Linked DNA regions of Pelodiscus sinensis. The protein of the gene in region 2 interacts with the protein of the main gene of each other region in a biochemical or structural test. Links are inferred from orthologs where the notes say so. Each region holds a gene or a part of one and is shown on either strand. Other genes may lie near its edges.

Region 1 (10,613 bases), on a different chromosome or scaffold from region 2:
GTCTGGTATTTTCTGGTTTTTTTAAAGCCAAATACCGAACAATGGGGGTGAAAACCGGACACCTGCCAACCTTATTCTCACTGGCCCTGGCTGATTGGGGACAGGCCTTGGGGTGCTTAAACTAGCCCATTTCTGAGGGTGCTGGGAGATGGGGACTCCTGGGTTCTGTTTCCCAGCTGCAGAGAGAGTGGGGTCTAGTGGTTAGTGCAGGAGCTGTCTGGGACTCAGGACACAGGCTCGAGTTCTCGTCTACCCCTGCAGGGTGGATTTCCGGAGTCCCATCCAAGTGGCTTGTTACTTTTAGCAGGGTCACAAGCCTTGTGGCTAAGGGGGAAGTGGCAGATGTGGTACACCTAGCCTTCAGCTGGGCCTCCTGTGATGGTCTCGTACACGAGGGAAATCCAACCTGCACGGGGTTTCTGTAAGGCGGGGTTGCAGCGGGCTGGGCTACTGTCCCCAGAGAGTAGATACCAAGGGGTTCCCAGTCATGCTCGGTGCTCAGCATCACCCCCAAAAAATGTTTGGAATCATTCAAAAAGGGCTAGAGAACAAGACAGAATATTTAGTGCCTCTGTAAACCCATGGTACGCCCACAGCTTGAATACTGCATACAGATGCGGTCAGCTCATCTAAAAAAAGATGCCTTGGAAAAAAGTTCAGAAAAAGGCACCAAAAATGATTCAGGGTTTGGAACGGGTCCCATCTGAAGAGAGATGAAAAAGGCTGGGAGGTTTCAGCTTAGAAAAGAGGAGACTGAGGAGGGATAGGATCGAGGTCTATAAAATCAGGACTGGTGTGGAGAAAGTGATTAAGGAAGAATTATGTACTTGTTCCCACAATATAAGGAGGAGGGATCACGCAATGAAATGAACAGGCAGCAGGTTTCAAACCAACACAAGGAAGTTTTTCTTCATGCAGCGCATCGCCAACCTGTGGAACTCCTCGCCAGAGGATGTGCTGAAGATCAGGACTTGAACAGGGTTCAAAAAAGAACTAGATAAATTCATGGCGGTTAGGTCCTTCAATGGCCGTTTGCCAGTGTCCCTAGTCTCTGTTTGTCCGAGTGACACGGGAGGGACACATGAGGATTACCTGTTGTGTTCCCTCCCTCTGGGGCACCTGGCGTTGGCCACTGTGGGCTGTATGGACCTTTGGTCTGATCCAGGCTGGCCATTCGTATGCTGCAAGGGTATAACAAGTAGGGTCCTACAGGGATGGGCTCTAGGACCGGCCCTGTTCAATATCTTCATCCGTGATTTCGATATTGGCATAGCGAGGATGCTTCTTAAGTTCGCAGCTAATCCCAAACTGGGAGGGGAGGCAAGTGATTTGGGGGACGGGGTCCGAATTCAAACTGAGCTGGGCGCACTGGAGACATGGTCGGAGGCAAACAGGATGAAGTTCAACAAGGACAAGTCCGAAGGGCTCCACTTGCGGAGAACCAAGCCGTGTGGCGCACGCAGAACAGGAAGCGGCCGTCTCAGAAGGAGGATTGCGGAGAGGGACTTAGGGGTCGGAGTGGGCTGTAAACTCAGCATGAGTCAGCAGTGTGACAGGGTTGCACAAGCACACCACAGACGTCATGGGGGAGGCATGAACCGGCGTGGTGTAAGCAGGAAATGTGGAGCAATCCTTCCGCTCTGCCCCACATTGATTCGCACCCCCCGCCAGCGGCTGCGCTGCGGCCACTTCTGGGTACCGCGTTTCGAGGAAGAGGTGCCCAAGTTGAAAAGGGCAGGGACCTTTCGGCAATCTGAGCTTCTCTGGGTGGTGCGCATCTGAACGGGCCTTGGTGCGCAGCACAACATTTATTCCACATGTGGATGGAAAAAATAGGAACCTTGCTGGCAGTAAGTATGTCACTGGGTGGTGCGCATCTGCACAGGCATTGGTGAGCAGCTCAAAATTTATTCCATACATGGATGGGGAAAAAATAGCATGGACCTTGCAGCAGTACGTGCTTCTCTGAGTGGTGTGCATCTGCACAGGCCTTGGTGTGCCATACAATATTTATTCCACACGTGGATGGAAAAAAATTAGCAGGGACCTTGCCGGCAGTCTGTGCTTCTCTGGGTGGTGCACATCCGCACTGGCCTTGGTGAGTAGTATAAAATTTATCCCACACATAGATGGAAAAAAAATTAGCAGGGACCTTGATGGAAGTTTGTGCTTCTCTGCATGGTGCACATCCAGACCGGCATGGGTGGGAAAAATTAGCAGGAACCTTGTGGGAGTAAGTGCTTCTCGGGGTAGTGCATGTCTGCTCAGGCCTTGGTGCGCCACACAAACTTTATTCCACACATGGATGGAAAAAATAGCAGGAACCTTGCTGGCAGTCTGTGCTTTTCTGTGTGGGTGCGCATCCACACCGGCCTTGGTGCATAGCACAACATTTATTCCACGCATGGATGGAAAACATTAGGAACCATGCCAGGAAGGACTCAGCCGCTGTCCTTCCGGCCTTATCTCCCTCCCAACCATGAGCTGGAACCAGCTAATCTCGCTGGTATCTGGCTGTCCAGCCACCCCCAGCCCTACCGACCCGCCCTCCCAGTCGACTCGCCCCTCCGGGATATTTTTAGCACTAAACTCCCAGGCAGCGAGGCCTGGGCGAGCCGCGCCCGGCGCCCTTGGCCCAAGGATAAGCCCGGCGGCAAGGCCTGATAAGGGGCTATTCACGGCTCTCGGCGGGGGCAGAGGGACGGCGGGTTCCCGGCGGCACCTGTTTGGGCCACGAGTGGAGGGTTAAATATAACCAGCGCCCACGGGCAGACAGCGCCTGCAGCCGCGGACACAACCCAGCGCGGCCTACGCAGGACTCCTGGGTTCTCGCCCCGACTCTGGGAGGGGAGCGGGGGCTAGTGGTTAGAGCAGGGGGAGGAGGGGAGCCAGGACTCCTGGGTCTCACCCCTGGCTCTCCAGGGTTCACTGTGTGTGTGTGTGTGTGTGTGTGTGTGTGTGTGTGTGTAGCAGGCCAGCCTGGGCGTGTGCACACACTCACATGCCTGGTCACACACCCCAGACCAGCTGAGGAAACAGGCTAGCAAGGGCTGACCCGGGGCCCAGGCGGAGGCTGGGAACTGCCCAAACTCCTAGTTTCCAGGCTGGGCCCGCCCGCTGCACTGCCCCACGGTGAGACCCACACGCCCGCCTCCCGCCCGCCCCACACAACGCCCCGCTGAGGGGCCAAGGAGTAGAAATACCAGCTCTGGCAGGCAGGGGGGCAGGGGTCTGGCCCCTCTGGGGGGCCCCGGTTCTGAGCACTCCAGTGAGCCCAGCTCTGTGGAACGAGTTTGCTGGGTCTCTGCCTGGGCACCCACCGACCCCTGGCCGGCCGACCCCCTCTGCCCCCCATGGGGCGTGGGGCAGGGACGTGGGCGGCTGGTTGGGGGGCGGGGGCTCCCTCTGGGGGCACCCAGAAGAGCCGGGGAGGGGTGTTACCGGCTGGGCACCTACCCCCCAACACACAGGGGAACTGGAACATTTCTCCCCCTCCAGTCAGCTGATCCCCCCCCACCCCGCGGGACTATGGGCCCCGTGCGCCACCTGCTGGCCCCCTGGGGTTTGGGACAAGAAGCCTCACACCCTGAGTCTGCCTGGAAAGGGGGGGGGCGCTCACTAAAACACCAGAGTTGACTCCCCCCCCATCCACAGCCCCAGCCCCCCCAGTACTCCCCACAACCACAGCCCCTGCCCCCCCAGTGCCCCTCCCAATCCACAGCCCCTACCCCCAGCCCTGCCAGTGCCCCCCATCCACAGCCCCCTGCCCCCCAGTGCCCCTCCCAACCCACAGCCCCTACCCCCCAGCCCTGCCAGTGCCCCCCATCCACAGCCCCTGCCCCCCCAGTGCCCCTCCCAATCCACAGCCCCTACCCCCCAGCCCTGCCAGTGCCCCCCATCCACAGCCCCTGCCCCCCCAGTGCCCCTCCCAATCCACAGCCCCTACCCCCCAGCCCTGCCAGTGCCCCCCATCCACAGCCCCTGCCCCCCCAGTGCCCCTCCCAATCCACAGCCCCTACCCCCCAGCCCTGCCAGTGCCCCCCCCATCCACAGCCCCTGCCCCCCCAGTGCCCCTCCCCATCCACAGCCCCTACCCCCCAGCCCTGCCAGTGCCCCCCATCCACAGCCCCTGCCCCCCCAGTGCCCCTCCCCATCCACAGCCCCTACCCCCCAGCCCTGCCAGTGCCCCCCATCCACAGCCCCTGCCCCCCCAGTGCCCCTCCCCATCCACAGCCCCTACCCCCCAGCCCTGCCAGTGCCCCCCATCCACAGCCCCTGCCCCCCCAGTGCCCCTCCCCATCCACAGCCCCTACCCCCCAGCCCTGCCAGTGCCCCCCATCCACAGCCCCTGCCCCCCCAGTGCCCCTCCCAATCCACAGCCCCTACCCCCCAGCCCTGCCAGTGCCCCCCATCCACAGCCCCTGCCCCCCCAGTGCCCCTCCCAATCCACAGCCCCTACCCCCAGCCCTGCCAGTGCCCCCCATCCACAGCCCCTGCCCCCCCAGTGCCCCTCCCCATCCACAGCCCCTGCCCCCAGCCCTGCCAGTGCCCCCCATCCACAGCCCCTGCCCCCAGCCCTGCCAGTGCCCCCCATCCACAGCCCCTGCCCCCCCAGTGCCCCTCCCAATCCACAGCCCCTGCCCCCCCAGCCCTGCCAGTGCCCCCCATCCACAGCCCCTGCCCCCCCAGTGCCCCTCCCAATCCACAGCCCCTGCCCCCCCAGCCCTGCCAGTGCCCCCCATCCACAGCCCCTGCCCCCCCAGTGCCCCTCCCAATCCACAGCCCCTACCCCCCAGCCCTGCCAGTGCCCCCCATCCACAGCCCCTGCCCCCCCAGTGCCCCTCCCAATCCACAGCCCCTACCCCCCAGCCCTGCCAGTGCCCCCCATCCACAGCCCCTGCCCCCCCAGTGCCCCTCCCAATCCACAGCCCCTACCCCCCAGCCCTGCCAGTGCCCCCCCCATCCACAGCCCCTGCCCCCCCAGTGCCCCTCCCCATCCACAGCCCCTACCCCCCAGCCCTGCCAGTGCCCCCCATCCACAGCCCCTGCCCCCCCAGTGCCCCTCCCCATCCACAGCCCCTACCCCCCAGCCCTGCCAGTGCCCCCCATCCACAGCCCCTGCCCCCCCAGTGCCCCTCCCAATCCACAGCCCCTACCCCCCAGCCCTGCCAGTGCCCCCCATCCACAGCCCCTGCCCCCCCAGTGCCCCTCCCAATCCACAGCCCCTACCCCCAGCCCTGCCAGTGCCCCCCATCCACAGCCCCTGCCCCCCCCAGTGCTCCTCCCAATCCACAGCCCCTACCCCCAGCCCTGCCAGTGCCCCCCATCCACAGCCCCTGCCCCCCCAGTGCCCCTCCCCATCCACAGCCCCTGCCCCCAGCCCTGCCAGTGCCCCCCATCCACAGCCCCTGCCCCCAGCCCTGCCAGTGCCCCCCATCCACAGCCCCTGCCCCCCCAGTGCCCCTCCCAATCCACAGCCCCTGCCCCCCCAGCCCTGCCAGTGCCCCCCATCCACAGCCCCTGCCCCCCCAGCCCTGCCAGTGCCCCCCATCCACAGCCCCTGCCCCCCCAGTGCCCCTCCCCATCCACAGCCCCTGCCCCCCCAGTGCCCCCCATCCACAGCCCCTGCCCCCCCAGGGTCCTCCACTCCCGGCCCACAGCCCCTGCCCGCCCGCGGGGGGGATCCCGGGGAATTTGCTCCCCCCCCACACACAGACTTTGCCGCTGCCACGTGGGGGGCCGGCAGGTGGCAGCAGTGGGGCAGCGCGCGGGGGCCGACGGGACACTGGGGGTGCGGGGCGGGGCGCCTGGTTGCGGCTGGACCCTCGCGCGGAGCCAGGAGCCGGAGACGCGGTGAGCGGGGGGGGTGCAAGGGCCGGGGGGACTCAGGGGGGTGCAGGGGCGGGGGGTGCCAGGGCCGGGGGGCTCAGGGGGGTGCAGGGGCGGGGGGGTGCAAGGGCCGGGGGGCTCAGGGGGGTGCAGGGGCGGGGGGGTGCAAGGGCCGGGGGGCTCAGGGGGGTGCAGGGGCGGGGGGGTGCAAGGGCCGGGGGGTTCAGGGGGGTGCAGGGGCGGGGGGGTGCAAGGGCCGGGGGGACTCAGGGGGGTGCAGGGGCGGGGGGTGCCAGGGCCGGGGGGCTCAGGGGGGTGCAGGGGCGGGGGGTGCAAGGGCCGGGGGGCTCAGGGGGGTGCAGGGGCGGGGGGGTGCAAGGGCCGGGGGGCTCAGGGGGGTACAGGGGCGGGGGGTGCAAGGGCCGGGGGGTTCAGGGGGGTGCAGGGGCGGGGGGGTGCAAGGCCCGGGGGACTCAGGGGGGTGCAGGGGCGGGGGGGTGCAAGGGCCGGGGGGACTCAGGGGGGTACAGGGGCGGGGGGGTGCAAGGGCCGGGGGACTCAGGGGGGTACAGGGGCGGGGGGGTGCAAGGGCCGGGGGACTCAGGGGGGTACAGGGGCGGGGGGGTGCAAGGGCCGGGGGACTCAGGGGGGTGCAGGGGCGGGGGGGTGCAAGGGCCGGGGGGCTCAGGGGGGTACAGGGGCGGGGGGTGCAAGGGCCGGGGGGTTCAGGGGGGTGCAGGGGCGGGGGGGTGCAAGGCCCGGGGGACTCAGGGGGGTGCAGGGGCGGGGGGGTGCAAGGGCCGGGGGGACTCAGGGGGGTACAGGGGCGGGGGGGTGCAAGGGCCGGGGGACTCAGGGGGGTACAGGGGCGGGGGGGTGCAAGGGCCGGGGGACTCAGGGGGGTACAGGGGCGGGGGGGTGCAAGGGCCGGGGGGCTCAGGGGGGTGCAGGGGCGGGGGCTGCAAGGGCCGGGGAACTCAGGGGGGTGCAGGGGCGGGGGGGTCCAAGGGCCGGGGGACTCAGGGGGGTGCAGGGGCGGGGGGTGCAAGGGCCGGGGGGCTCAGGGGGGTACAGGGGCGGGGGGGTGCAAGGGCCGGGGGGCTCAGGGGGGTGCAGGGCCGGGGGGGTGCAAGGGCCGGGGGGCTCAGGGGGGTGCAGGGGCGGGGGGGTGCAAGGGCCGGGGAGTTCAGGGGGGTGCAGGGGCGGGGGGGTGCAAGGGCCGGGGGGCTCAGGGGGGTGCAGGGGCGGGGGGGTGCAAGGGCCGGGGGACTCAGGGGGGTGCAGGGGCGGGGGGGTGCAAGGGCCGGGGGGTTCAGGGGGGTGCAGGGGCCAGGGGGGTGCAAGGGCCGGGGGGCTCAGGGGGGTGCAGGAGGATCAGGGGTTGGGGGTGCAGGGGCAGGGGGGACACAAAGAGATTGGAGGGCAGGAGCAGGGTAGGGTTGGGGGGTGCAGGAGGGGCAGGGGGATCAGGGGATGCAGGGGTGGGGGGTGCAGGGGGATCAGGGGGCGCAGGGGGATTGGGGGCCGCAGGGGCAGGGAGGGGGCAAGAGGCTAACACTGGGGGGCGCTGGAGCTGGGGGTGCAGGGGAGGGGGTTTCAGGGGCCGCAGGAGCAGTGAGGGGGCAGGTGGCTAATTCCGGGGGGGGGGCGCAGCTGGAGCCAGGGGTGCAGGGCAGTCAGTGCACAGGCTGCTGGGGGGGCGGTGACTTGGGGTGCACAGGTGCGGGGGGGGCGGCACGGACAGACCCAGCAGTGGCTCTGTGGGGCTGAGATGGGGGGTCCTGGGGGCCGCTGGGGTCTGATCCAGCTGGAGTCTGGCCAGGGAGAGGTCGGTAGTGATCACCCACCGCTGGGGGATTGCCAGGACTCCTGGGTTCTCCCCCCAGCTCTGGGAGGGGAGCGGGGGCTAGTGGTTAGAGCCGGGGGGGGGGGGGCCTGGGTTCCATGAGTCTCTCTTCTCTTTCAGGTTCCCTCAGCCCCGGGATGTTCTTCACCTGTGGCCCCAACGAGGCGATGGTGGTCTCCGGTGAGTGGCTCCCCCCCCCCCCCGCTCTCACATGGGAGAAGCCAGTCCCGGGGGTGGGGGGGGGGAGCCCGATGCCCCCCCCCAGTCCCTTCCTGTCTTGGGACCTCCCACACTCCCCGCCCCAGCCCTGACAGCCCGGCTGAGTCCCAGGCCCAAAGTCACAAGCTCCGTAACCCGGATCCCCAGGGGAAACCCAGACCAGGCCCCTGCCCCCCCTCCACCCTCACCAGCCAGGCCCTGCCCTGGGGCCTAGAGGGGCCAGGCCCCTGCCCCATTCCCTGCCCCTCTGGATACCCGGCAGCGAAGAGACGGGATTTGAGACAGGATGACGTCACCAGTTCCCAGGGGATGGGACCCTGGAGCTAATCCAACGGTAAACAATCAAATCCTCTTTTCTGGGCCAGGCTAGGCCACGGGGAGCAGGGCGGGGGCTCAGCAGGAGGCGCTGGGCTGTGGGGATTGGGGCGGGGCTTTCTGATTCCAGACAAGATTTAAAATCCGAGTTCACTTCCTGCCTCCTTAAGATTTCCCTGCTGGTTTCCAATTGCCCGTTCCCCAGCGGCGGCCGCGTCTCAGCCCCGTGCTGCGTCCCTGTTCTATGCGGCTGTTTCCCCAGCCGCCCCGCCCCAGAAGCAGCTGCATCTTAGTGCCCGACGGCAACTAACACTCTGCTCCCCTCCCCGCTAGGCTTCTGCCGCAGCCCCCCAGTGATGGTGGCCGGGGGCCGGGTCTTCGTCCTGCCCTGCATCCAACAGATCCAGAGGTAAGTCCCCACCGCAGAGATCTGAACATAGGAACGGCCATACCGGTTGAGACCAAAGGTCCGTCCAGCCCCGTGTCCTGTCGGCTCACAGTGGCCAGTGCCAGATGCCCCAGAGGGAGTGAACAGAACAGGGAATCATATAATGATCCCTCCCCTGTCGCTCATTCCCCAGCTTCTGACAAACAGAGGCCAGGGACCCCTCCCTGCCCATCCTGGCTAATAGCTATGATGGACCTACCCTCCATGAATCTACCTAGCTCTTTTTTAAACCCAGTTAAAGTCCTGGTCTTCACAATGTCCTCTGGCAAGGAGTTCCACAGGTTGACTGTGCACGACGTGAAGAAAAACTCTTCCTTTTGTTTGTTTTAAACCTGCCACCTATTAATTTCATTTGGCAACCCCTAGTTCTTATATTATGAGCAGGGCTTGACAATCTATTGAATCTACTCGCCCGTGGCGAGTAGATTTCAGCCTGGCGCCCCGTTTACCGGTGGCACGTGCATGTGCAATGCGGGGCTGGCGAGCGTCTTTCGCCGCGGTTCCTCAAGCCCTGATTATGAGAACAAGTAAATAACTTTTCCTTATTCACTTTCTCCACTCCACTCATGATTTTATAGACCTCTGTCCTATCCCCTCTGTCTCCTCTTTTCTAAGCTGAGAAGTCCCAGTCTTTTTCATCTCTTCACACGGGACCCGTTCTAAACCCCTCATCATTTTAGTTGTTCTTTTCTGAACCTTTTCCAATGCCAAGAGATCTTTTTTGAGACAAGGCGACCTCATCTGTACACAGTATTCAAGCTGTGGGCGTCCCATGGGTTTATATGGAGGCAATAAGATATTCTCTGTCTTATTTTCTACTAGCAGAAATACCCGGCGTCGCCCGGGGAAAATATAGTAAAAGGTGTGATGAATGAACTACATTGCGTATTTTATTGGAAATCCTTTTCTCTGATATTTTACTTTAAGAAATGAACCCAGCTGGTACTTTTCCTGTTATCGTAGGGAAACGATCTCGTAGTTGCAGTTCGTGTGACATGCTTCACAGAAGAGTCCAGCAAATGCCTATGATCAGGCGCTACTAAAAGCTAATGAGTGGCCCAATTCGGGCTCTGGGGGAACCGATTTCGAGATAAAACCAACCCAGTTATTTACGTTAGGAAGTCAGTGGGATCCGTGCCAAATTTGGCGTTTCTAGCTCTGACCGTTTCGGAGATCTTTCGGGACCAACAAACTAACTTTCGGAAATATTCGTAAGACCCCTTTTTCAATGATTCCCAACTTTCTGAGCCGCTGGGGCCCTCCCACCGCCCCACTGGGCTTGCCGGCACTGGGGAGGGATTCGAGACGGGTCAGAAGAGGGGCAGCGTGTGGGGGGTGGGGATGTGGGGTACATAGGTCTTTGGGTCATGACATGGGGGTGTCCCGTCCACAGGATCTCCCTGAACACCCTGACCCTGAACGTGAAGAGCGAGAAGGTTTATACCCGGCACGGGGTCCCCATCTCCGTCACCGGCATCGCCCAGGTAACCGCTTCCCCAGCTGCGAGGTCGCCATAGAAACCCTGGGGAGGCGGGAACACCTAGGAAACTAGCCAGGTACCCCCGTCCCCCGCAGTGGTACCTGCCACTGGCACCCCCTCGACCCTATACTTCCCCCATTGGTGCCTGTCCCCCCTTTTCCCCAATGGTACCTGCCCAGCTTGTCTTCCCCCCCCCCCCCCCTTTTCCCCAATGGTACCTGCCCAGCTTGTCTTCCCCCCCCTTTTCCCCAATGGTACCTGCCCAGCTTGTCTTCCCCCCCCTTTTCCCCAATGGTACCTGCCCAGCTTGTCTTCCCCCCCCCCCTTTTCCCCAATGGTACTTGCTCAGCTTGTCTTCCCCCCTCTTTTTCCCAATGGTACCTGCCCAACCCCCAGTTTCCCCAGTGGTAACTGCCACTAGCACCACCACCCCATGTCGCCAAATGGTACCTGCCTGGCCTGGCTCCCCCATTTCC
Region 2 (10,116 bases):
TTAACTTCAGTGTCGCTGACTTTAAAGTTAAAGGTGTGCTTAAGTGCTTTCATGAATAGAGACTGTTCTCCAAAATTGGAGCCTATGTCGATAGACAGTTTTAAATACTGCTACTGCCGTGCAAGTCTATACATGAGCATCTCAGATCAGTGGCAGATGGTATCCGTCATGTCCATTTTATAGCTGGAAGAAGCAGTTCAGCAAAACCAGAAATAGAGCCCAAGTTCCCTTCCTTCTAGCACCCTGCTCTAGCCAGTGGACAATGCTGCTCTCCAGCAAACCCTAAAGAATGCCTTTGCTGAAATGTGACACTAACATCAGCAGAAACCTCTGAGCTAAACAAATGTAAGACATGATGGCAGGTAAGGAATTCCCAAGGGCGTAGGCAGGGGTGGCCCTAGACTAGCTGCCAGCCACTGGCGCCCTAGGCGAACCATGCAATCGGCACCCCCACCTCCAAACCCCTCCATGATATTAGGCCACCATTTGGCAACCCATTTAACTTGGCGCCCTAGGCAACCGCCTAGTTCGCCTATATGGACGGGTTGCCCCTGGGCGTAGGCCAGAAGTTTCTGATCTTGAATGTGCCTCCATCTATGTTACAGCATCCCTACACCTCTAGGCAGACTTTTAATGACTTCGTCATCCCTTTTAGTCTCAGCGCATTTCTTCTGAGACCACAGCTCTTTCCCTACTTGGTGTGGAAAAGAGAGTGATGGAATCCTAGTTGGAAGGAATGCAGATACGCAGTGACTACTTCTGTACAGCATGTCTGTGGATTATCTCACATGTTTCAAGCATTCCAGGGTCTCCCTACAATAGCAAGAGATAACAAACAACTCATTAATAGTTCAGTGTAAGGACACATGCTTTTGAGTCACTGGGAGGGCTATAGAATATGACCCCGTGGTAGGAATCTCAAATCTTTAATGATCTGGGTACGTCAGAGGGGTTGTTTCCTTGGCTATACTGGCTTAGACTATACTGGGTTGAGGTTTGTATGGCTGCATGGAGGATTCAAACACCCACTCCACAGGCATATAAATCCACTAGACAATTTTTTGGCAAGTCTCACTTGAGAGGGACAATGCTGGTTAAAGGAGAATGTAATTAGCAGGAATTCAGTTTGGACAGAGTTAATGAGAAGAAGTGAAGTTAACGACACTGGGTTATACCCTGTGCTCTTGCAAAAAGTGCCCTAAGACCCATAAAAGGCACATAAAGCTGGCTGGGAGGAGGTCGCTTTTAGAACTGTACACATGGGATTCATTTGGCTCCAGCTCTTTACAGGCTACTTGGAGTCACTCGGTAGCTATGGGGCTACTGGTGCCTAAAGTCAGTGGCTGCCTTGGAAAATGGTTCTGAACAAACAGATCCAACCATGGTGGCAGATGCCAGAAATGCTAATAGTTCTCAGTCTTAAAGCCACGCCTCATTGTGCTGGCCACGGGATTTAGATGCAGCGACACGGTCACACCAAACTGCATGTTCCCCACCTGGAAGTGCACCTTATATGTACAATGGCTTGGATACTGCAAGTTGACATTGATGAAAACTCTCAAGTTATAAGCCACCACTAATAGGAAGGAGACCCAACATTATTATTGTACATTTTAAGTAGAAATCAACCCCAACCACAAAGTTCAGATCCAGACACAAATTCTCCCCAGATGTGTGGAGCCCTACGCAAATACAAATTGGTGATAGCCACATCCACATGTGCAGAAACGATCTGTGGATACCCGTGGACATGAAGTGGGTATCTGCAGATCTTCAGGGCTGTACAAATGTGTGGAGGTGGGGAAAGGTACTGCTTCAGGCCCACTTCTAATTTTAAGATTAGTCAGAAGTTCACAAATAAAGCAACCATTTACTAGCCGTCACCACGGCTAGAATATCTGATAGCAAGGTTACTGTCTCAGGATCAGGGAAACACACTTGCTGTGCTAACTGCTGGCAAACCCTGGCTCTCTGACAGCAGCCAACATGTAGCAGTACATTTCCCTCTGTGCTGCACAAACCCCTGCACTCCACCCCTTCCGAAGGCAGGCAATTAACAGACCCCCCCCAGGGGTGGCCTTAGACTAGCTGGCAGCAACTGGCGCCCTAGGCAAACCATGTAATTGGCGCCCCCACCTCCAAACCCCTCCATGATATTGTGCCACCATTTGGCGCCCCATTTAACTTGGCGCCCTAGGTGACTGCCTAGCTCGCCTCTTTAGATGCCAGCCGCCCCTGCCCCCTCCCACAAAGACAGGGAAGTGGACAGACAGACCCAGTTCTGAACTGTAGTAGAGCTCCACATGCAGGATGGGGAGGAGGGGCAGAATTGAGGGAACCAGATTCTGGGTGGAGCCCTCTGATGCCCCCAGCACAAGCACCTACAGCAGCCTGAGGGTGGCTGCAACAATCCCACGGAGCATTGCAAGAGCGAAGGCCAGCCTGGGGTGCCGCATGTTTCACCAGGCAGAGCCCTGGCATGCTCCTTGCTCAGGCGCTGCAAGGGGAGGTGGGTCCATTGGCATCCAGAGGACCCTCCTATGCCACAGGAATGACCAGGGGCTCCTCCTCTGGCTTCATGTCCAGTGCAGGCAGCACAAAAGGGCCACGGCAGAACCCCAGACTGATGGCCACAGGGGCTTGGCGACAGCCAGAGACAGAGCAAGCAGCAGCCCAAGTGTGCTGGCTGCCTGTCCTGCACTCAGGCCAACAGGCCATGCCGCCTCTGACAGCAGCTGACAGAGGGAACCACGGAGGCAGAAGCCACCTTTCCTAGGGCATCTCCAGCACCGGGGTAAGAGGGTCTCCGCTGAAGGCAGGTCTAAAATGCCATAGGCGGGGAGGCTGCAGCTAACGTCTGATCTCAGATTTCACCCCCCTGCAGGAACAGCGGAACATCAAACCAAACCGCCTTTTAAAGTCACATTGTTCTCCTTTGTCCAGCTCCACAACCAGAGAAACACCTGGCCCAGAAAAGTTAGTAAGTGAAGGATAAAAACAAACTAATTTGCCATCTGAGTCCAATCCACATGGGCCTGCGCCAAAGCGCCGACTCGTGCCCACTGCTTTGAGTTCAGAGACAGGCAGGCCCAAGCTGGGAAACTGAGGTATTGCCTCCAGTCCCCCCAGGGGCTGCAGATAGGCCAGGATTCACACATCTCCAGGAACCAGAGCAACAGAGATCCATTGCAAAACCATCTGACAGCTCCTTCCCTTAACCAGTGGCTTATGACACAGCAAGGGAACCGGGAGGTAAGTGGCTCACCCTAGCCAACAGCAGTATCCTCCTGAGAGCGCTGAGCACCCGCCAATTACTACTCAGCTAGCCGCGTCCTTACCTTGGACCAGGCTTCTCAGTCAAAGGTGCCATTTGCTGGGCTCTTCCCGCCCCCCACTTGGACTCCAGAGACAAGGTGTGAAAGAGTCAATCAGGGTTTGCTCCGGGCTGTTCGGCTCCCTGAAGCATAACCCGAGTTTGGGGAGGCCTGGGCACCCTTAAATACTTTGCTCCTCCCACCTCTGTGCTTTAATTAGCCAGCAGGCTCTTAATCATGTCAGCCTGTCACTTGGCTTGCTCACCGTCAACAGCCCCCTCCCGCCTGCCTGGCATTCCTTTGCCCTTGACATCATGCAGACACGCAGTGGCAGCAGACGGGGTGGGGGCGGGGGAGCGGGAGATGGATGCATTGGGGAGGAGGGAAGTGATGGCTAAGCACATGGAAAGTGCTGCGTAAAACACCCGTACCCAAGCCGTGTGTGTGTCTACCAGGGAACGGTTTGATTAGCATCTAGCTACAGGCCCTGGAGACCCTTGAGCACGGGCTGGCAAATGTGTCGCTGCCAGCAGAGTTAGGTCTGGAGTGGAAATACCTGGCATGATACAGAGAGAAACTCTCATCCTGAGAGATTGAGATTTATTATGCAGCCCAGAAGCTTGGGAAACACAGCCCTGCTGGGGCAGAGGCCCCAAAGGAAGGCAGGTTGGCGGGGCCAGGACTCCCCTGGGAAGCCCAGAGAGGAACACATGCTGGAGTGGCAGTGGTGCCAAATGGACAGAGGATAGCGTGTGCTCTCCTGGGCATCTGGGAAGGAAGGAGGGTGGGACCAAGGCCTCCCCCTCTTTCCGGGCATGCACACAGGAGACAAAAAGTCTGGGACTGTAGCATTCTGCGTCCAGGGTGTGGGTCAAGTGACTTGTCCTGGAAACTCAGTGGCGAGTCCAGCCCGGGGTTCTTGGCTCTGCGTCCTGCACCTTTACCAGCAGGCCATCTCTTCCAGACCAGCACATTAGAAGTGGTGCAGGCTGGTACTTCCGGTCTACATGACTGGGATTCCAGCCTCCATCTCTCCCTTATGCCTCTGGGCTTCATTGTACTCCCTGGCCTCTTTCCCATTCCCTTCTCTTTCATCTGCAGCCACCCTTGGGCTGCTCCAAACCCCTCTCAGGGACTCTTCAGTCTGAAGAGCTGCTGACCATGCTGCAGACCGAGATTAACTGTCTGGAAGGCCACCGTCTCCCCAGGAACCGGAATAGAGAGGAGGCTAAGAAAACATGACTGATGGAGAAAGCGTTGCTCCTTTAATTGGGATTGGTCCTGCCTAGAGCAGGGGGCTGGACTTGATGGCCTTCTGAGGTCTCTTCCAGCTCTCTGGTTCTATGCTCTGATTCTATGAACACAGGCCAAGCATGTCTCTGGTTGGCCAGCCAGGTGAGTGCTTAATCTCAATTCAGATCCTTCTTACACACACAGCGTTAGTGAGGGCTCTGAACAAAAGCCCTACAGGAGAAGACTAACATCCACTTTAGGGCTATTTGAAATCTAGACCCAGCTTCAGATTTGTCAGCTCAAACTCTTCTCTATTTTCCAGCTGAGCTGGTTGGTGAGCATCCCTCCCTTAGCCGAGTGGGAGCAGCTGACATCCTGGCCTGGGAAGCTGGCACCAGTGCAGGACGAGGCTGGTAAGCACTGATCTAGTTGACTTCTGAGTTTAGTATTGATCACATATACCTCACAGTCCAAGAGACACGTGCAATGGCTGATCAGCATTACCGGTGCTGGAGAGGAGCCCAGTATGCAGAATTCACACCTGGATTTCCAAGGGCCTAATACTTGGAGGGGTTATGTTTGGCCCATTATGGAGATGAGGCCATTTGCAAAATTTGGATCAGGCTCTAGGTGTAGCTTGCAAACACAATGGCTACGTCTACACTGGCCCCTTTTCCGAAAGGGGCATGGTAATTTCAGAGATCGTAATAGGGAAATCCGCGGGGGATTTAAATATCCCCCGCGGCATTTAAATAAAAATGTCCGCCGCTTTTTTCTGGCTTTTAGAAAAGCCGGAAAAGAGCATCTACACTGGCCCCGATCCTCCGGAAAAAGCGCCCTTTTCCGGAGGGTCTTATTCCTACTTCAAAGTGGGGCTGGGGGCGGGGAGCAGTTTGGTCTTCATCCAAAGTTTAGGGGAGTTCTGATCAAGGGCTGGGATTTGTGGGATCTGCACGTCCCAACCACAGAGCTTACAACACAGAGATTCTACAGCAGGCCGGACAAAAGTCAGGCTTTGGGCGCCTGACAGACTAAAGCGAAATCAGGCGGGTAGCTGCTGAGGGGCTCCACTGCTCCAAACAGCCTGACGTCCTGCTGATCTTAAAAGCCAACACTCCGGCTGTGGACACCTCTGAGAGCTTACAGCAGCACCACTGGACCCTCGGCAGAGAGCTCTCCCATCGACCTAATGCCCCCTCCCAACAGGCAGGGGAGGAGCTGCCCTGCGGAGCTAGCGCTGTACACACTTGGGGTAGCCTATTCACACCCCTGGCCAAGTACAGCGATAGCCTTGCTGGGAGATGAGTCACCACAGTGGACTGGGAATGAGCAACAACTCTGGCTGGCATTTTTCAGCCAAGCTGCAATAATCAACTCCCTAAGAGCAGCATTTGCTTAGCTGTCCAGGCAGTCGATGCAAAACTTGTTCTGTCTACAGCATGTCGACAGCTCCATCCCAACAGCACCTCAGCACGCTGCAGTCACAATGGCACTTACCCTGACGAAGCCCTGCAAGGCGAGGCACTGCCGTTCCCCTCCTTGGCCAGAGGGGAGTTCAGGCCCACACAGGCTGGGGGTGCGTCTAACAGCAAGAAGGGACAGTGGCAGCAAGTCCCCGGGGCCAGATCAACGGATGAGGGGCTGGAGGTAGCAGGGCAGCCATTTGAGAGTACGAGATGAGAGTCTCTCAGAGCTCAGGTCCACGCCCTAGTGCCTGCACAGCTTTCTCAGCCCTGCGAGCCTGTCAGCTGACCCAGGTTCTGACACTCACTGCCAGAGGGTTGCTAAGCAGACCCACCCTCCGTCTTTCAGGGCCTCACCTCCCCATCTGTAAAACATGGGGAAGCAACTTTTCCAAAAGGGCTGCCAGCTCTGACCAAAGCTAGTCCAGGTCTTATTTTACACATGACGTATTGTCATTTTCTTAAAATACCCAATTCACGTCTCCCGGATTGCTCTCAACAGGCTCCGGAGGCTGACGACGACTCTGGCTGGCAACTCTTCTGTCCAATGCCTGAACCAGTATTTTCCAGATTTTTTTCTTTGTGGAAATTTTCAAAATTTTCATCTTTTGTTCAGTGCAGAATGAAGCCAACTTTCAAAATGCTTCACAAGATGGAATATCCACCTTCCCCAAGCCTCCATCTGTGACTAGCTCACTGAGCGCAAGGGCTACCTAAACCAGGGAGCGAGAGAGAGAGAGAGACCTTGTCCCGCTCTGTGTCCAGGCCCCACAGGACAGCTCGCCACCTGCAGAGGAATTAGCTGAAAGGACAGAAGTTTGTGATTGTGGTGCTGAAAGTCAGGGTTTGAGCCTGGTGCTACCTGTCAACATTTTCCTACCCCAGCTCCCTTTTTAGAAGGAGCTGTCCCAGATGAAAGGGTTCCAATGTCCCAGTTTTTTGTGCCTTGGATGGCAGCCCTATCTCCCATTCATTCCCCTGTACTCACTGAAATCAGCTGGTTGAACTATTCAGGCCCAGTGGAAAGGGTCACGGTTCTCCACCTGCGACTCTGCTTTCTTTTCACATGTAATTATTTCACAGTAACACACACCTGCAAGAGAGAGAGCGGGAGGGAAGTGTGTTACTATTACTGCCACTGCCCCGGTGTCCATTGCACTTACCAAAGGACAGAGAAGTCATCCCAGAGCAGAACTGAGGCATTAAAAGGAGCACAGCAGTACAGAGCGGAGGCATTAAAAGGAGCACAGCAGTACAGAGCGGAGGCATTAAAAGGAGCACAGCAGTACAGAGCGGAGGCATTAAAAGGAGCACAGCAGTACAGAGCGGAGGCATTAAAAAGGGGTCAAGTCTTAACTCTGCCTGGGCCTGGCCCCTGCCTCCTCCCCCAGTCAAGGGACTATGAAACCTGTCCGGCACCACCACTAGGAGGACAGGTTGGGAGGAAGGGTTGCTGGAAAGCCAGGGAACAGAATAAAAGCCTGTTTCAGTGTAGAGATGACCTTGGGAATCTCTTTTCTTGGGGACAGTCTCTGAGGTCCCTCCAGGTAAGGGCAAACAGACAATGGGGGAGCAAAGAGAGATGGAGAAAGAAAAAAACATGGAAGATAAATAGATGGGAGGAAAGAGACCAAATCAGAAAAAGTCTGGTCCCTCAGAGCTACACACAATGGGGCAGCTTTGCCCCAGCACAATCTACATGCATGGCCACCTCAGCGCAGTCCCAGGTAGCAATGCAAGCACGACCTCTACATGAGGCCTGGCCGTGGACTGAGTGCGAGCCCCTAGTGGAATTGTGTTCAGTAAGCAAAAGTTGAACCCACGAGTTCAGTGATACCACTCGACCATTTGGCACTCAAGAGGAACAGCGTATACTGGAAGCCAGACCCTGGCTAAAACTTAAAATGCAATGAGTGTGCTGAGTGGGTTTCATTCATGGACTTTAAAGTAAATTTCCTCTGTCAAGATGATGATTCCAGAAGATAAGATGTTTGGTGGGTCTTTTGCTCATGGTTAATATTTATGAACCCTGTTTGCACTGGTTTCCCAAATTAATGCTGAATTACTTCCCTCCTTTTATTACAAGTTTTTTGCTACACTCAGACTCTGTGCTTGCGAGAGGGGAAGCGCTGCTTCTTAGAGGCACCCAGGCGGTGGTGTGTAATAGTCCCATGCTGCTGCGTGAGGGCTTGGGCCGGTTTTGTGTTGCACTGTTGGAAAGGAACCCCTAGATACTGAACCGTCCCTTGCTGCTGCCAACACTGACTGGCACAAGGGTTATCAAGAGTATTCCATTCAAGTCTGTGTGATAATCCATCTCTTGTGGTGGGAGGAAGGGGTTAGAGCAATTCATTTAGAAGATGGAAGAGTGACTCAAAGGCAGCAGTCCAGATATCAGCTAATAATTTGCTTTTATAGCAAGTTACTTAATCATTCAAATGATAGATTTGAGATTCTGATCACATTCGTTAGTTGTATTTATAAGCAGACAGCCACCTTTTTAGAATCTATAGAAGGACTGATTACTGTTGAGTAAATTGGTTGGTTTGATTTCACCAGCACTGAATAGTTGTTGTGCTTTATACTTAGTTTAGTGCATAGCAGCTTAGCTTTGGTGATAAAGTTTCCCTGCTCTTATCTTTGCTTAAGTGTTCTAATAACATTATAAAGGGATATGGAGTCTTATTTCTTTTAACAAGCAACCTTGGTCCAGAAGTTAGAACCTTTGAGACATGGGGCAGATATCAGCCAATCAACCTAAAATCTTGTCATGCTCTCCTAATTAGCCAGTAATCACAGAGAACAGAGAGGAAGAAAAGGAGTAGAAGGAAGCTGCTCAGAGGGATGTCAGAGACTTTGCTTGACTGGAGACATGATGTTTTACAGGCCTCCAGAATTACTTCAGGACCTGCTGGCAGCTGAAACATTAAGCGTGGAAGAGCCACGACTACTGCCCAGCCTTAGAGAGGTTCCAGAGAGAGACAGAGAAAAGATGGCACCTGAGAGAGCGAGGCCTGCTGGGTGGGTTTCTGCTATCTACAGGGGGCCAGTTTTAATCTGGGCCCTGCTGGCCAGGAGGGAATAAGCAACCACATAATCTGGACAGGGGATGGACAGAGGCAGTTTACAGCTTTATGGGGCCCTGGGCCAAAGCATGTGGGGGCCCCTGCAGTCCTCCCCCCCACATTCTGTTCTCCTGCTATAAAGAGGGGTGGGGCAAGGGGGCTTCCCCCAGACCACAGCAGGAGCACTGGGTGGGCCAGGGAAGCCCCCTGGCCCCTGCCCTGCTCACTGGCAGGAGCGCCAGGCAGGTGGAGTGGGTGGGGGTGCAGTGGTGCCCATTTGCCCAGGGCCCCCAATGGGCCATGGCCACTGGGGATGAAGCCTGCATCCCCTGGAAGCCTTTCTGACTCCTGAAGCAGAGTCAGTGACCTTTGGGAAGATACAAGGAGAGAGAAAAAGGCCATTTTGGCACCTGTCATCTAAAGCAACGGAGCGCTTTGAGCTGTGTAAAGGGTCTGGGCCTGGGAGTCTGGCAGCCAGGCTGGAAAAAAGCCTGGGTGAGAAATACCTTTTTGAACAAAAGCGACGAGGAGTCCTGTGGCACCTTATAGACTAACTGAAGTGTAGGAGCATAAGCTTTCGTGGGCAAAGACCCACTTCGTCAGATGCATGACATGCATGACATGCATCTCACGAAGTGGGTCTTTGACCACGAAAGCCTATGCTCCTACACTTCAGTTAGTCTATAAGGTGCCACAGGACTCCTCGTCGCTTTTGCAGATTCAGACTAACACGGCGACCCCTCTGATACTTTTTGAACAAGAGACTCTGTTAAATTTAGGTTTTAGTCTTAGAAGCGTATTGTTACTTCTGTTTGCTTGTCATCCTTCCTACCTATATTCCCTGTACTTGCTGTCATCTAGCCTATGATTTCCTGGTTTTACTAAAAAACCGAGTGGTTCAATTCAAGCAGAGTACTTGTTAACCTGCTGCTACTGTCATAAGATGCTGGGTGCTATTTCTTTAAGGGAGTAGTGAACTGTAAGCGAGCCTGGAATGACACAGGGCAGAGAGTGTGTTGGAACTCCAGACATGTTACCAAC

The links. The genes of interacting proteins can lie anywhere in the genome.
Region 1: the proteins of SORBS1 (region 2) and FLOT1 form a complex in vitro, tested with the Homo sapiens proteins (2 studies listed by BioGRID). The link is inferred for Pelodiscus sinensis from reciprocal best matches to the Homo sapiens genes SORBS1 and FLOT1.

The regions. Positions count from the first base shown.
Region 1 is NW_027466009.1:677,863-688,475, forward strand, and holds the start of FLOT1 (flotillin-1), read left to right. Parts: upstream 1-5,760; 5' UTR 5,761-5,853; intron 5,854-7,795; 5' UTR 7,796-7,812; coding exon 7,813-7,855; intron 7,856-8,542; coding exon 8,543-8,618; intron 8,619-10,050; coding exon 10,051-10,141; intron 10,142-10,613. UniProt on the Homo sapiens protein: May act as a scaffolding protein within caveolar membranes, functionally participating in formation of caveolae or caveolae-like vesicles.
Region 2 is NC_134718.1:4,328,836-4,338,951, reverse strand, and holds the start of SORBS1 (sorbin and SH3 domain-containing protein 1), read right to left. Parts: upstream 4,151-10,116; 5' UTR 3,371-4,150; coding exon 3,339-3,370; intron 1-3,338. UniProt on the Homo sapiens protein: Plays a role in tyrosine phosphorylation of CBL by linking CBL to the insulin receptor. Required for insulin-stimulated glucose transport. Involved in formation of actin stress fibers and focal adhesions.